Astyanax mexicanus: one gene and its partner. The protein of the gene in region 2 interacts with the protein of the main gene of each other region in a pairwise test. Links are inferred from orthologs where the notes say so. Each region holds a gene or a part of one and is shown on either strand. Other genes may lie near its edges. The genes, in order: hemk1 and chn1.

What was found.
Region 1: the proteins of chn1 (region 2) and hemk1 interact in binary tests that used the Homo sapiens proteins (3 or more experiments, as listed by UniProt). The two-hybrid records come from large-scale screens. The link is inferred for Astyanax mexicanus from reciprocal best matches to the Homo sapiens genes CHN1 and HEMK1.

Annotation. Positions count from the first base shown.
Region 1 is NC_064412.1:15,821,630-15,828,845, reverse strand, and holds the start of hemk1 (MTRF1L release factor glutamine methyltransferase), read right to left. Parts: upstream 3,007-7,216; 5' UTR 2,849-3,006; coding exon 2,780-2,848; intron 1,724-2,779; coding exon 1,547-1,723; intron 696-1,546; coding exon 604-695; intron 25-603; coding exon 1-24. UniProt on the Homo sapiens protein: N5-glutamine methyltransferase responsible for the methylation of the glutamine residue in the universally conserved GGQ motif of the mitochondrial translation release factors MTRF1, MTRF1L, MRPL58/ICT1 and MTRFR.
Region 2 is NC_064418.1:31,644,479-31,652,582, forward strand, and holds the start of chn1 (N-chimaerin), read right to left. Parts: upstream 3,089-8,104; 5' UTR 2,988-3,088; intron 2,614-2,987; 5' UTR 2,561-2,613; coding exon 2,491-2,560; intron 1-2,490. UniProt on the Homo sapiens protein: GTPase-activating protein for p21-rac and a phorbol ester receptor. Involved in the assembly of neuronal locomotor circuits as a direct effector of EPHA4 in axon guidance.

The DNA of each region.
Region 1 (7,216 bases), on a different chromosome or scaffold from region 2:
TCTATCACATACTGAACTGGCATCCTGAAACACACAACACATACTCTCTAAACAACTCAAAGTCCCATATTAAATACGTTTTGTACAGTTTTTTTTATTAGTGATTTTAACTCACTGTTCATAAAAAACTGGGAGCACAGTAACCAGTCACCATATTGCTACTTGTTCCTATACTTACTGTCCATCTCATCAGCTCCACTGGGCACATAGAAGAACATTATATTGCTAAAATCACCGACAGTGATTCTTCTTTATCTCCGTATACTTTATTATCCTCCTCTTACCCTGTTATTTAATGGTCAGGACCCCACTAGACCACCATTGAGCAGTTATTATTGAAGTTTGCAAACACTGTGTTCACACACTGTCTTCCACTCTATTAGACATTTCTACCTAACTGCTCCACCTTGTAGACATAAAGTCAGACACAGAAACTCATCTCATCTTTTACAGCACAGTTTGTGTTGGTCTCTCTCTTACTCTCTCTCACTCACACTCACCAATATGTGTAACATAGATTGATCAGCTGCCTCAGGTGGCTTAACCTAGGTCTGCTGCACTGCATGTTAACATCACAATATCTACAGACTTTAGAGCCAGTACCTTGTGAGGCGTTTTGAACACAGTTCCCACACCATCTCTCTCTGCTGTTCAGTCAATCTGTCCCCGAGCCTACTCCTCTCTATACACTCCAACTGAGTGAGAGAGAGAGAGAGAGAGAGAAAGAGAGCGAGAGAGAGAGAGAGAGATGTGTTTACAATTAGGAAAACATGACAGTGGGCATGTGGTGAGGCATAATTTGATTCCTAGAAGTTCCCTGGAATAATTGTGCTGGACTGGTTTGATGTGTTTGTTGACAGAAGTATGAGCAAAAATGTCCTTTCACTGGATAAATATAGAAGGAAAAAACAATGAAACACTTTCTCTTGTCCCCGCAAACACTCTAATTTACCCAAATTACTCAGCAGTAAATCACTCGATTATAAGGCAAGCAGCCACCAAGACAAATAAAAACAGGAAAGTGACTCATGAAGAAAAGCTGAAAGTGATTTAAAATACACAGACTGATTTATTTGTCTCAGACAGCGTTCCAGTCTGACAAACAAACTTTTAACCAATAAAATCGGTCTTCATGGCTTCATTTCAGAATGGTGTCCAATACAGGAGGTAAAATTATTTAAACAGACCAGTATTTGTGGATAAGGTGATGTAAATAATGGGCCATGTGTGACATTCTGTGGCTGTTATTTTGAGTATAACAAAGACAGAGTGCAAAGCAGATCCCCTGATATATTCAGGAGAGCAACAGATATAGCAAATAATTGGATCATTTGGCTATTAGATCATCCAACCCCCTCACAATCAGGCCATCAGATAATGGCATGTATTCATGGCATGTATTCATAGCATGTAAATTTTAGCTCTGTACCCCAGAACACTAAACATAAAAATAAAACAATGATCATTAGAATATTTAGAATGTCAGGCAAACTGTAAACAGATAGACAGACAGACAGACAGACACAAGGCAGGGTAAGAAACTCACTGTTTTCTGCCCAAGTATGTGAGCTATGATGTAACTGCTGGACAGAAGTGGTTCAGAAATGTCCTGCTGCTGGAAGTGTTGAGCCCACAGACTGACTGCCTGCTCTACTGTCACACTGCCATCTATAGGTGGGCCTACAGCGCCACCTACAGCTCTGCAGGGCACACGGACCAAAGCCTGGAAAAAAAACAGACACTTCAGAGATGTTGTAATAATAACATAACAATTACAACTTTTATTTTATTCGCACTGTTCAGTTTAGTTACAAAATCATAAATCTGTTAAAGAAGGCAGGTAAGGCATGGTACAGAGTCAATTAAATATGAACTATATATTTAAAAAATCCAAGCATCTATTTGATGTATTGCAAAAAGAAAGAAAAAACTGAATCTCTTTTTTGTGAATTTTTTCACTTTCAACATAGTTTGAAATCTGCTGTTGTTCTTAATATTGATTCAACATTTCCTGATGAACGGATCATTAAAATTATATAAATGTCTGTTTTACACTAAACTTTACTAAATTTGAATAGGTTTTTACCCTCTCTATAAAGTTTCCATTTTAAATTTAAATTTTGTCAAGCAGTGATGAGTGAATACAGCATGGATGTGCTATAAAACCTCAACAAAGCCTTTAACCCTTTAAAATGCATTGTCCCGTATACAAGCTACAGGTGTAGGTGATACAAAACCCTTTTTTCTGCAGTAAAATAACTTATTTACAATCTGAAAATGAAATGGCTTTGAAATCTCCTACAGGTCACTTGGAGAAGCTGCCTGTTCACTCTCTACTCCATTTAACAATTCTAGATCAGTAACTTAGCAGGAGTTAGCCTAAATTCTGCAGGTTTTGAAATAGACATAACAAACTAGACAAACATAACAAAACTAAAGGTTTGGAGGACATGAACTGTTTGATTTGTATTCAGAAAAATATTGATTTTAAAGTGAAGTTCAGTACAGTTTATTTATTATACTTTTACAGTTGCTGTTTTATTTAATTTTTTTTTATATATATTTTCTATTACAATATTAATGATACTTTTTCGTAATGTTCCTTATCAAACATGAAAGCTGTTTATGTAATGCTTGAATAAAAATCCTCAAGATATAGTAATGTAATGTCAGGCACACAACTGAAAAAAATCCTGGCCTGTATAGTAGGGCAACGTATAGAAAAGTATATAAAGCAGCTCATTTGACTGCACTGGATTTAGAATTGCTGTTTACTAACCTGCTGCTGCTGCTGGAATAAACCGCTCGGTTTGAGGCGCTGAATAACGCGTTTTATACTGCAGTACATTTCCCAACCGGTCTAAATGAATCGGCATGAAGAAAAGCCGCTTAACACAAACATAACTGGACCATAACTGTTATTACTTAGAACCTGTTAATGGTATGCACACACACACACACACACACACACACACACCAGCACCAGCACACACTTAACGCTAGTACTCCACGCTGTTTGGTGACACGCGGAAACGGCAAAATACAGCCGCATGTCAAAATAAGAGTATCCCCAGAATTACATTACATTACATTACATTTGGCAGACGCTTTTGTCCAAAGTGACTTACAATAGTCAAGTACAATGTAAAATAAGTTTAAAGGTAAAACATCTTTGGATAGGGATAAAAGGAGGTCAAATGGGAATAATAGGATAGAGGAGTGAAGGAGGGGAAGAAGGAAATGAGGTTAGAAGTAGTTAGTGTATTATACAATATATATATATTTAATACTGGAAACAACAGTGTACTGGAATGTTTCTCGAATTAAAAACGTTAGATATGAAAGTCATTTCTTTGAAACAAAGCTGATTTATAAAGAGCATACCCGTTTCTTATTACTCAATGACTTAAATTTTTTTTATATAATTTCTTTAGCAAGTTGCTTTTTTCTGTAATCATCTTTTGTTTTTATGTTGATACAGCGTTGTAATGCACTGAAGGTTTTATCCACTGCATTAAATGCCTTACAAAAATGTCATTATAATTGAAAGAACTGTATTAAAATAATTATTTTTTATTACATTTTGTTTGAAACAAGTAGAACCCAAACCAGAGCCGGTTTTTATAAAGCCTATCTATTAGAACTGCCGTTATATCAGAAATTTACAGTCAACCGCTAGAGGGAGCCCGCGAGTGAGTCCAATAAATGGGGGGTGAATGGAGCTAAACCATAGACTGTATATAGCTGTACATATGTATATCTTTTTTTACAGTCTCTGAGCTAAACCTAAATAAAAAATAATTAATTGTAATCTATATGGTCGGTATATTCCTTGAAATTTTGAAATTAAAATGATGATTGTTGCTTTAAAAAAAGCTCATACTCATACTCAGAAAACATACTCATATATTAAATACACTTATATACACATTTCCAACAGTAAACAGGTTTTAGGCAGCAAGGCGCTAGTATTACTGCTACTGTGATCTCATTGGTTGGTGAGCTGATGCTGGTAAGTGGAGTTTAGAGGCTTTAAAAATTATATTGATGTTTTGTGAATGAATACATCTTTCAGTATGATTTTGCTCAGTTGCTCCATATGAACTAATTTATTCATATGGACTCAATCAAACCCAAAAGAGATTCTCAAGTTTGTAATCTCTTTATTAGAGATTCTCTCACTATGTTTCTCTCTATGTACCATACTTGCCATTAGCAACAGCGATACTGAACATTAGGGGGCAGGCTTCCCATATCATACATCTCTTTTTTTCTATCTCTTTTGTCACAGAAATGTCAACATTTTTCAAGCGTGTAGAAAGTTATCTGCTGAGCCTTTAGCGCGTGTGAATATGTGTGAACTGAAGTGAAATCAAGAGAAATGAAAAGATGTGGCTTAATAAAAGGTCATATGACCCCATCAGCCACAGTTACCCTTTACTTAAAAAAGGCTTAAAAGAGCAGGTGTGGGGAGCGGAACAGTGAGGACCAACTGGTAGCCTGACTGGTAAACTAAATGCCATGACATTTCAGCCCCGTTTAGTTAAGACCAGATAGATTCGTTTTTAAATGCACGTACAAATGAAATGTCCAACTTTAAGAACAAGGCACTAAAGAGTTTATAGACACCTAGCTAATTCTGTCCTTCCTTTCTTTTAATAAGGTTTTATTAGTACACTGTCTGGCCAAAAAAAAAGTCACCACCTGTTTTTAAGTAAGTAAATGATGTGGTGTTGATGCTGCAGTTGGTCAGGTCTAGGTTTAGCAACAGTATGTGCTGAAAGAATGAGGTCAGCTGACTACCTGAATATACTGAATATAGACCAGATTATTCCACCAAGAGATTTTTTCCTCCCTGTTGGCACAGGTATATTCCAAGATGACAATGCCAGGATTCATGGGGCTGGAATTGTGAAAGAGTGATTCAGGGAGCATGAGATCATCATTTTCACACATGGATTGTTCACCACAGAGTCCAGACCTTAACCTCATTGAGAATCTTTGGGATGTGCTGGATGGAGAAGACTTTGCGCAGTGGTCTGACTCTACCATCATCAATGCTGCTGCAAGATCTTGGTGAAAAAGTAATGCAACACTGGGTTGAAATAAATTTTGTGACATTGCAGAAGCTTCTTGAAACAACGGCACAGTGAATGTGTGCAGCAATCAAAGCTAAAGGTGGTCAAATGAAATATTAGAGTGTGTAAACTTTTTTTGGTGGCACCTTTTTTTTTAGTTTTGGGACACCAGCTACATAGTATTATATTAAGATTATTACTGAATTTAAAGCGGGCATACCTGTTTTTACACAAGTTAAAATATGTATATGAGCTATAAAACACACAAAATCACTCTCACATAAGAATATGTCACAAGCTCTATACTTGCCAGTTTCAGTCCCTTTTAGAATGAGCCGTTTGTTTAAGGGCTCTGTCACTTTCATGTAAATAAGCTGTTGCTGGCCACGCCCCATGGACCCACTTTGACTTGCCACAGATCCCTCAGTCAGATGAAGTCTGCTGGCTAATCCTACTGTGTACTTTCTGAGGTTCTCAACCAAAATGATCAAATTGGCATTTCTTCTTCAACGGATTTATAGATGGTGGCTCTGGTTGGGGGTTGACAGGTGGTGCCAGGGTGATTCTATGCACATTTCCAAATGGCTCAAAGAAGCATATGATTCCTGACACCTTATATAGGGGGCATACAATATCCCCTTTGATGATTAGTTCTAGTTCACAAATGCCACACAAACTCATCCCAATGCAGCTAATTCAGAGCATAGTTACACTTCTACAGCCCTGTATTGGCATTAGACACAGGGGGTATGGCAACTTTAGGCTTAAGTTTGATTGTTCTCGAGTGTCCCATTATATTGGCTATTGGCAAATTCTCCAAGGTGTTTGTGTACAATTTGTACATGGGCACCTTAAAGCAGCAAAAACCACAAATTATACACACTGTTTGAACATATTTGGCTAAATGCAGGCTTATCTTAATCACAACTATCTTTTTTATATTTATAATTTCTATCATTTACTTCAAAAAGTCACTTATTTTATCTCTGAAAATAGTGCCTGGTTGCTCCACTGTGTCTATGAAGGAAAAATAGGAAAAGAAGCAGATTGGCTGGCAGGCCTGTGCTGATCATGTGCTGTGAGAGAAAATGCTCTGTAGGCCAGATGGTACTGATTGTTGTTGTGTTCTGCAGGGGCTGCAGAGTTCAGTCTGGGGCTCTGAAAAAGTCACCATGATTCCTCCTATAAGTTCTGTGTTTACCCTGAAACACATCTCGAAACCAGTCAGCTAGAAGAAGAGAAAGAAAGTTTTGGAAAGACCTGAAGAAGTGCAAAGTAGAAGACCATGCAGAAGAGAAAGTAGAAAAGGAAGCATAAAAGGAAGGAAGGAAGAGAGAGAGAGGGGAAAATAGAGAAGAAAGGAAAAGAAAGCAGAAGAAGAAAAGCACACAGGCATGTACGAAGCGTAGAGTTTATTTGAGATGCATTTCTCCCAGAGGCTTGCCTGCGTTTAATAGCTCACAGTGTGTTTGTAATTACAGTCACAGAAACTAGCCGAGGCTCTCGAGGCGAAGAGAACTGGCGCTGGTATGCTGGCCAGGAGCACACTACTACACAGAATTTTCCAAACCAGCAATTTACTGCTGAAAAGAAACAACAAGAAGAAGGAACACTTTCACAAGATCACACAGCGCTCTCTCAGTACTGATTATGCTGTGTATGATGGAGTAGAAGGGAAATTCAGCTAATTTGCAATGAAAGGCTAAAATGTGAAGTCTGAGGAGACAATGATAGATAACTGGATATGCATTTCCTGAAGGAAATGCCAGTGTACAGTGCTTAAAAAGAAAAAAAAGGAAAAGTTGAACATTAGAAGGAAATTTAATGCAATTTCTATTGTGTTATTACAATCTTATTATAATGATTAGATGCAATGGTTATTTTTTGATCCTGGAAGAATAAGATAAGGAAGTAGAAAAATAAGTGAAGTTAAGTGCAGTAAAGTGCAGCTTATTACAGCACAACACTTGTGTTATGTGGCAATAATCTGAATAGGTTCTGTGCGCTAGTAGTCATGAGGTATTTAGTTTAATTACATTTTTCTCTCACTTTGAATTCCTCTGTGAATAAAAACAAATACAATTAAATGGCTTTCTTTTCAAATAAGACAATTCTGTTGATCCAACATACCTTTAAAA
Region 2 (8,104 bases):
GAATTTTTGCTCAGATCAGATTTAGCTATCTTGACGGTTCACATTCACAAATGTAAGTGATCTGTATCTGTGTGTAAAATGAACAAATCTGTCCCTGAAGCGCCTCACATGCGCACATTGATACGTGCATAAACGTCACCTTCTTCACCAACAACAAAAAACGTCATATTTGAGAGTCGACTCGTCACTTTATAAAGGAAAATGGACACGTTAGCAGCTCATATGTGGAGCATCTTTTGCTTGAGTTGAGAGCAAACAACTCGTCTGAAGTACATGGTCAGGTCGAGGAGCTGAAAAAAGACAAGGTGGCTTGCTTTTGCTGTTTTTGCAGCTATAGCCGCGCAGCTGTATCAAGATATGTGTGGGTACGAGAGAGAAGCACGTGGCACATGACCGAAGCAAAAAGACATGACCGTTCACATTCATGACACATGTCCATGGATTGGATACATATTCGATTTAGGAGCACATATAAAAGTGGCTCAGATCTGATTTGAAAAAATATCGTATTTGGCTTATTCACATAGCCTTAAAAAATAATATCTGAGCCACATTTAGCAAAAAATGATTTTAGTTAATTTATCAGAAGATGTGGTGTATGACATCACCCACAAAACAGAAGTTCACAACAAAAGCAAAGCTATTTTAATGATTTGACATCTGAAACAACAAGATATTGCTCATCTTACAACCAAGCATATAACCAACCACAAGTAATAAACTATGAATTACAAGAATGAACACACTGTGGACTTAATCCAATTGTGGAAATGTTGGCGCTGCATGCCAAATTAGGCTCATGACTAGCTTATCTTCCACTCCTAGCAGCTTCCCTGCCCTTCTGCCAAATGTGCTCCTCCTATGATTCAGCATTAATTATTGATAGAAAATGGCTGCTCCCCCATCCCACAGATAAGAGCTCCAGGGAAGAAGACTTCCTCCCCATGACTAATCATTTTGCCAACAAGTGGCTGAGGCATTCACACCCTAAAGCTCTACTTGATTCCAGATCCAGTTTAGGATTTAAAGCAACAGCACACTAAGCCTTAATGCCACTCAAGTGTAACTAATATGTACAGAAATACCTGATATCTACTCTGCTAGCTGTTAGCATCTGAAGTGACCACAGCTAGCTTGAGAACATCAATTGTCCCCCCCCCCCTTTCCCTGCTGCCACTTCAAAACCTGAATGAACAAAACAACTCAAGCTGAGTGGAAGTGCCTAAAGGGAAGAATGAAATGAGACACACTTTCTTCCTTCCGATCTTTCAGATGTTTTAAGTGCTAGATTTACGTGCTACATATACAGAATAGTAATGTTGTAGTAGTAGTTGTAATCTCAACATTTTGCCACTATGAGCGGATAATTTAAGAGCTGGTGGTCATCCAGATTAAAATCTCTTCTATTTTGCTAAAAAAACAGATCTTGACCAACATAAAAGTGTGTTTCATTTTATTTTTGTCATGCTTTGCCATGCTGGTCAATCAGTTTTAATTTAGCTGGTCTACTAGCTGGCAATATACAGCTCTGGAAAAAAAATTAAAGAGACCACTTCAGTTTCTAAATCAGTTTCTCTAATTTTGCTATTTATAGGTAGATTTTTTAGTAAAATCAGCATTGTTGTTTTATTCTATAAACTACGGACATGTCTCTCAAATTGCCATTTAGAACAGAAAATGAGAAATGGTTGAAATAACAAAAAGATGGCAAGCTTTCAGACCTCAAATAATGCAAATAAAACTAGTTCATATTCATAAAGTTTTTATATTCAGTTCAGAAATCATATTTGGTGTAATAACCCTGGTTTTTAATCACAGATGTCATGTATATTGGCATGTTTTCCTCTACCAGTCACACTGCTTTTGGATAACTTTATGCCACTCTTGGTGCAAAAATTCAAGCAGTTCAGCTTTGTTTGATGGCTTGTGATCATTCATCTTTCTCTTAATTATATTCCAGATTTTCAATTTGGTAAAACAAAGAAACTAATCGTTTTTAAGTGGTCTCTTATTTTTTCCAGAGCTGTATTAATACATATTTTTCATCTGAGTAATCTAAAAACGTTAGTGTGCGGCACACGTCGACTTATTATGTGAAATTTAGCTAGGTTCCACCTTAAATGGTGCATCAGTAACTAGCTAGTTAGCTACCTTTCATGAGCCAGAATGGGAACTACAGTACTATTTAAGGTGGAAAGAAAAACAAGTAACTAGTTAGCTTGTATGGTCTAGTGTAAGCGAGTAGGACAGATAGCAAGGTTAGCTAGGCTAGCTAACCTGTTGGTTGCATATTCACACTCCAACAGAAACACCCCCATGGACACACTCTCCATTGTTGATTCCCCCTTGAAGCTAAAGCTACATTAGTTACACACCCTGAGGGTCTGTCTCTCTGCTAGTCTCTCCAGCAAAACATGCTCCCTTTTTACTGCTCTGCACAACATCAACACACAACAACATAAATAAAAAAAATAACATTGTGCAACTTACCAAACACATGGATGGCCATGCTCGTGCTGTAATTCCGATGGACAAAGCTGTATTCGCTGTGTTCACTCATTCAGAATGAGCGCTTGTCCATGTAGGAGGAGAAAAATCACATCAGCAAACTGCCTGAATGGAAACAAACGAACACATAAAAAATGTGGATTATTTCAGCGCGAGCTCTCTTCTCTAGCCAGTTAAATAACTCGCTAAATGTTGAGTTTAATCGTTTGCTGGCTCATTCAGACCCTCCGTCTGTATCTCCAGGCTGCACAAAGCTAAAGTTTGAACCCCACTGAATTCAGCAGATCCAGCCACATCAGTCTCAGCCAGGCTGCATATGATCTCACAGCGGCGGAGAATTAGCCAGCTAGCTAACCTAGCTAACCGCCCCAGCCGCTCCCAGCAGAGCGCTATCAGCAGACGGCACGGCGGTTCGACGGCGTTATTTTCAGACAGGGTTAGCTAGCTAGCGATGTGAAGCTGCTGCAGCCCGGACTCACTCTGTATCCCAGCACTGAAGTCGCCATCTTGTGAGAGCACATGACCGCGAGCTCCGCTTCTCCTCGGGGACTGCAGCCTCTTCATGGCGCGTTACCATGGACACGGCGGCGCGCACGCACGGAAACGATGCTAGCTAACTAACTAACTATGGTGATGGGGCAAAGTTGGATAACTACGGAGCCCCTAAGGGACCTCATGTAAAAAATAAACCAAAAATAAATAAACAAAAAGAATGTGTGGCCACGATTTATTAAGGCGTGGGAACAAGATAATTAAGACATGGGAACAAGATACTTAAGGCATAGGAAGAGATCCTAATGCATGGGACGAGATACTTAAGCATGAGAACAAGATCCTAATGTGTGGAAACAAGATAATTAAGAAACAGGACGAGATAATTACAGCATGGGAATGAAATCCTAATGCATGGGAACGAGATACTTAGGGCATGGGAATGATATCCTAATGCATGGGAACAAGATAATTAATGTGTAGGAACAAGATAATTAAGGCATTGGGAATAAGATCCTAATGCATGGAAACAATATAATTAAGGTGTGGCAGTGAGATCCTAATGCATGGGAATGGGATAATTGAGCTATGGGAACAGAATAATTAAGGCGTGGGAACAAGATAATTAAGGCACTGGAACGAGATAATTAAGGCATAGAAGCAAGATAATAAAGGCGTGGGAATGAGATTCTAATACGTGGGAACGAGATAATTAAGGCATGGGAACAAGATAATTAAGGCGTGGGAACAAGGTAATTAAGGCATGGGAATGAGATCCTATACTTTTGGATTCTGCATACTGTCTGCCTCTGAGCCTGTGAGCTTTTAGTATGCAAATTAAGTGTGTTTTTCTTATTATACCATGTCTCACTGCAAGAGACTCCAAAATATTGCCATAATTCATTCCAAGATAAAAATAAAAAGAAACCAGTTCACTCTCCATTTTCTTACTAAAGATTATCCTTGGGTTGGAGGTTTGATTTAATATTCAGTCTTCTTCATGGGCATTCATTAACATAAAAGCAAACTTTATTATTCTCTGGCTACGACTTAATGATCTCATTTCAATGCCTTAATAAGTCATGGCCCAGCCTTAGGATCTCATTCTCACACCTAATAAGTTGCGGCCACGCATTTTTTTTTATTTTTACATGATGTCACCTTAGTGGCTGCGTAAAGAAAACCCTCAAGCTGGTTGGGAATGTAGTTCTTGATAAATCTACAGTATTTCTTAGTTTGATGGCTAAACTAAACAAACCTGCTAAAAATAGCATGGTCAGCTCAAGCTGTCTGACAAGTCTGCTATCTCACGAGTAGCTTAGGGCAAGTTTAAGTTTGATGGTCTTTCAATTGATCTACCAGCACTGCCATCCTGCTTGACCAAACTAACCTAATGAAAAAAAGTAGGGCCAGCTTATCAGTTTATAAATTCATTACTGAATTTGATGGATTCGCTGGTCAACAAAAAGAATGATCAACCTGAACAAGCTCACTAAACAACCACTATGACCAAGCTTGACCATGATGTTTGCCTAGCATGACCACGCTTTTCATCAAGCAAGACTAAGCTGGTGAACCAGCACCACCAAGCTGGTGAACCAGCAAGACCATGCTGGTCGAGATTTAAGCATGACCGAAGTCGAATGCATAATACACACAACTGGTGAAGAGTTGGTTAAACAACTAGATTAACCAACATAAAGTATATTTTCACTTGGATGACCAGCTTTTCAACCACCTTGGCCATTAAATACGTCATTAAACAACCTAACACCAGAGCAGCTAGCCTATTAAACCAGTATCAGCATGACCAGTGTGCCCAGCATGCATGGCCCACTTGACCTCTGGTCCTCAAGTATTCCCAGCTTGGTCAAATTGATGATGCTGACAGACAGCTAGTTTATTAAACTTAAAGGAAAACATATGCGAAGCTGGTCAAGAGGTAGCAGCTGATTTATCAACATACAGATATGCCATCATCTTAATGATCAGTGTTTCAACCACCTTGAATAGACAAGCTTAGACCATCTGAAACCAGCTATCAGTAGAATCTGTTTCTGCCATGTGCAAATCCAGACAAATCTTCTAAATTAGCAAATTTAGATTATAAACAAAAGCATAATTTGTCCACACACCGTTTTGTATATTCTCTATAGAAAAGCATAGCCAATAGCATGGGACACTCTGGAGCAGCTGCACACAGGCCTAAGGTCCAGTGCCAGGTTTTGACCAATGCCCAGTGCCAAGTGTTGCTAAAGGGGAACAAATCACCCAGCACTGGGCTGTGGAGCACTGGAATTGTTCTCCATCAAAACCCTCTGAAATGAGATAGAGTATCTTTTGTTTTGCAGTACTAATTATCCAACACATTACATTTTTGGACTTTTCTTCTAGTAATTAAAAAAAAAAAAGACATTTTAAGAAATTAAATTCTGCAATTGTGGGATATCAGGCAAGAATGTGATACAAATACCTTAAAGTTGAAAAAGTATTGTCAGCAGAACAAAGAAAAAAAAGAATAGTTAAAGGTCTCCTGCTAAAATCCACCTTTTCTTGTTCTTTGTAAAATGAAATAGGTCTCTCTGAGTTGTATATACATGCTGCATGTGAAACTGTTCCTCAACCTTCTTTGTCTGCAGTAGCTAGTAAAAGAAAAAAATCAGAATACAAGTCGATCAGGAAAAGCACATGGGTCTACGTCAACCCTGGAAATAGTATTCATGGCCTCAACTACAGGCAGAGCTGAAGCTGGGGTGCAGCAGAGCTGACATTGTCTCGTCAGCTAAAGAGCTTATAGCTTTCTTTAAACCAGCTAGTTAACGTTAGCTATCTTGTGTAAGTAACTATAGGTTTACATTGGATCTCCAGTGGATTCTGCATTTTACCCAGACCTTAAATATACACTAGGGAAGCGCGGTTTGAAATCTGCATTTAACATATTAGAACATATTAGAAAATCACAGTGGATGAGGAGTGTTTAATGTAATTATGTTAATAATCACACATTTTAATCATGATCAATAATCTGATTGCATCACACTGTTGCACGGCATTACCAGCCAGTGCTGGACATTAAACTCATTTATTACTCGTTACTTTATGCTAACGCGGCGCTAACATTACGCTAACATTGTGCTAATGTTGAGATAATGTTATGTTAGCATTATACTAACATTTCACTGGAGCACTTTCTTCACATGGCATTTATTCACACTAGACATTTTAAAATGAATAAAAAAATGATGGAATGAGACCTTTAAGGTAGGCTATGTGAGGTAAGCTATGTATGTCCCATATTCTCATCCAACACACTGTGTCATATTACATAACACACAGTACCATTACCTAATACACTTGGCAATACAATCGAAACTCTGTCCTGTATTACATAACACACATTCACACATTATTTCCAACGCATTCCAACCTATGACATTGTGCCACACTGTGCCATGTTACTTAACACAATGACCTACAACATAATAATAATAATAATAAGAGAAAGTCTGTATAAGTCAGTATTTGCAGTATCTACACATGCATTTACTCATTCAAATACTCAATTATAGCAACAAATATCTTCATATTTTGGATTATCCATTCAATTAAACCCCGAATATCTCCCGCTCTTCCACCCTCTGTTTTGTTTTCTCCAGATGGCAGTCCTGCGTTGACAGAAGCTTAAGTAAGTGTCCACACTAACAGGAAGCCAAGACAATAGCAGCCCAACAGTAAGTGTGCGTTCAGGGCACGGAGACGTGCGTCTCGCTACAACACTTTGTTGTTGAACACTCATTTCCCCTGTTTAACAATACACTGCGAGAGGCCAGTGAAAGCCTTCCTTTAAATACATATGATGTGATTTCTTGGACACACAACTGCATGTATACATTTAACTGTACAATAGTATCTTGTTCAACTTTAATGAGAAGGTTATGGCTCAGTTTGTAATCCAATATACGGTAATAGAATCTTTTTACTGTTTTCATTTTACACAATAGACCAGAACAGACACACACCCAAACACACCAGGATACACAAAGTCCTCAAATAACAGAGCAGACCAATGATACACTACACCAGGGGATCTCATACTTTCTGCAGCCAGGGGGCTTTTTTTCAGTGTTAATAGATATGAACCCTTACAGACTGAATACAAATAGTTAAGGTTTAACAGAAATTAAATTAGAATATTACAGAACTTTTACAGTAGCCACAGGTCTGCTTTTAGACAGATTAACTTTTTTTCTTAAAACAGCTTACCATACTTTTTCAGTGTAATCCATACTTGCCTCCATTCTACTGCATTAAACCACATGTTTTTTTTTCTTCAAAACCTTAATTTGACCTCCACGCAATAGACATTTCTTAATTATATAATGAACAGCAACTGAAAAAAACACATTGCTCTCCTGTACAGCCACTGTCCTATATTTTATTTTTATAGAGCTTGGCAGCTGCTGAGAGGAGCCCATGGCTGATAATTTGAAATTTGCATCACAGTCATTCCTAATAATGCTTGTGAACAAACCACTGCCCTAGCAAGCTGATTAAGGACTAAAACTTTGGAAATAGTTATCTGAAAGTTCAAAGAGTTCAAATCTCTTAGGGATTGTGGATGTAATTCTTTCCTTTTTCGACTGTACGATACATAAAAAAATAACTCTAATTAAGAGACTAATTCAGTTTCTGAATAAGTTTCTCTGATTTTGCTATTTATAGGTATATGGTTGAGTACAATCAACATTGTTGTTTTATTCTATAAACTACGGGCAATATTTCCCAAATTTCTAATAAAAATATTGTAATTTAGAGCATTGTTTAGCAGAAAGTGAAATAACAAAAGGCTTTTTCAGACCTCAAATAATGCAAAGAAAACAAGTTCAAAAAGTTTTAAGAGTTCAGAAATCAATATTTGGTGGAATAACTCTGTTTTTAATCATTTTTCATGCATCTTGGCATGTTCTCCTCCACCAGTCTTACACACTGCTTTTGGACAACTTTATGCCCTTTCTGGTGCACAATTCAAGAAGTTCTGCTTGGTTTGATGGTTGTGATCATTAATCGTCCTCTTGATTATATTCCAGAGGTTTTCAATGTGGTA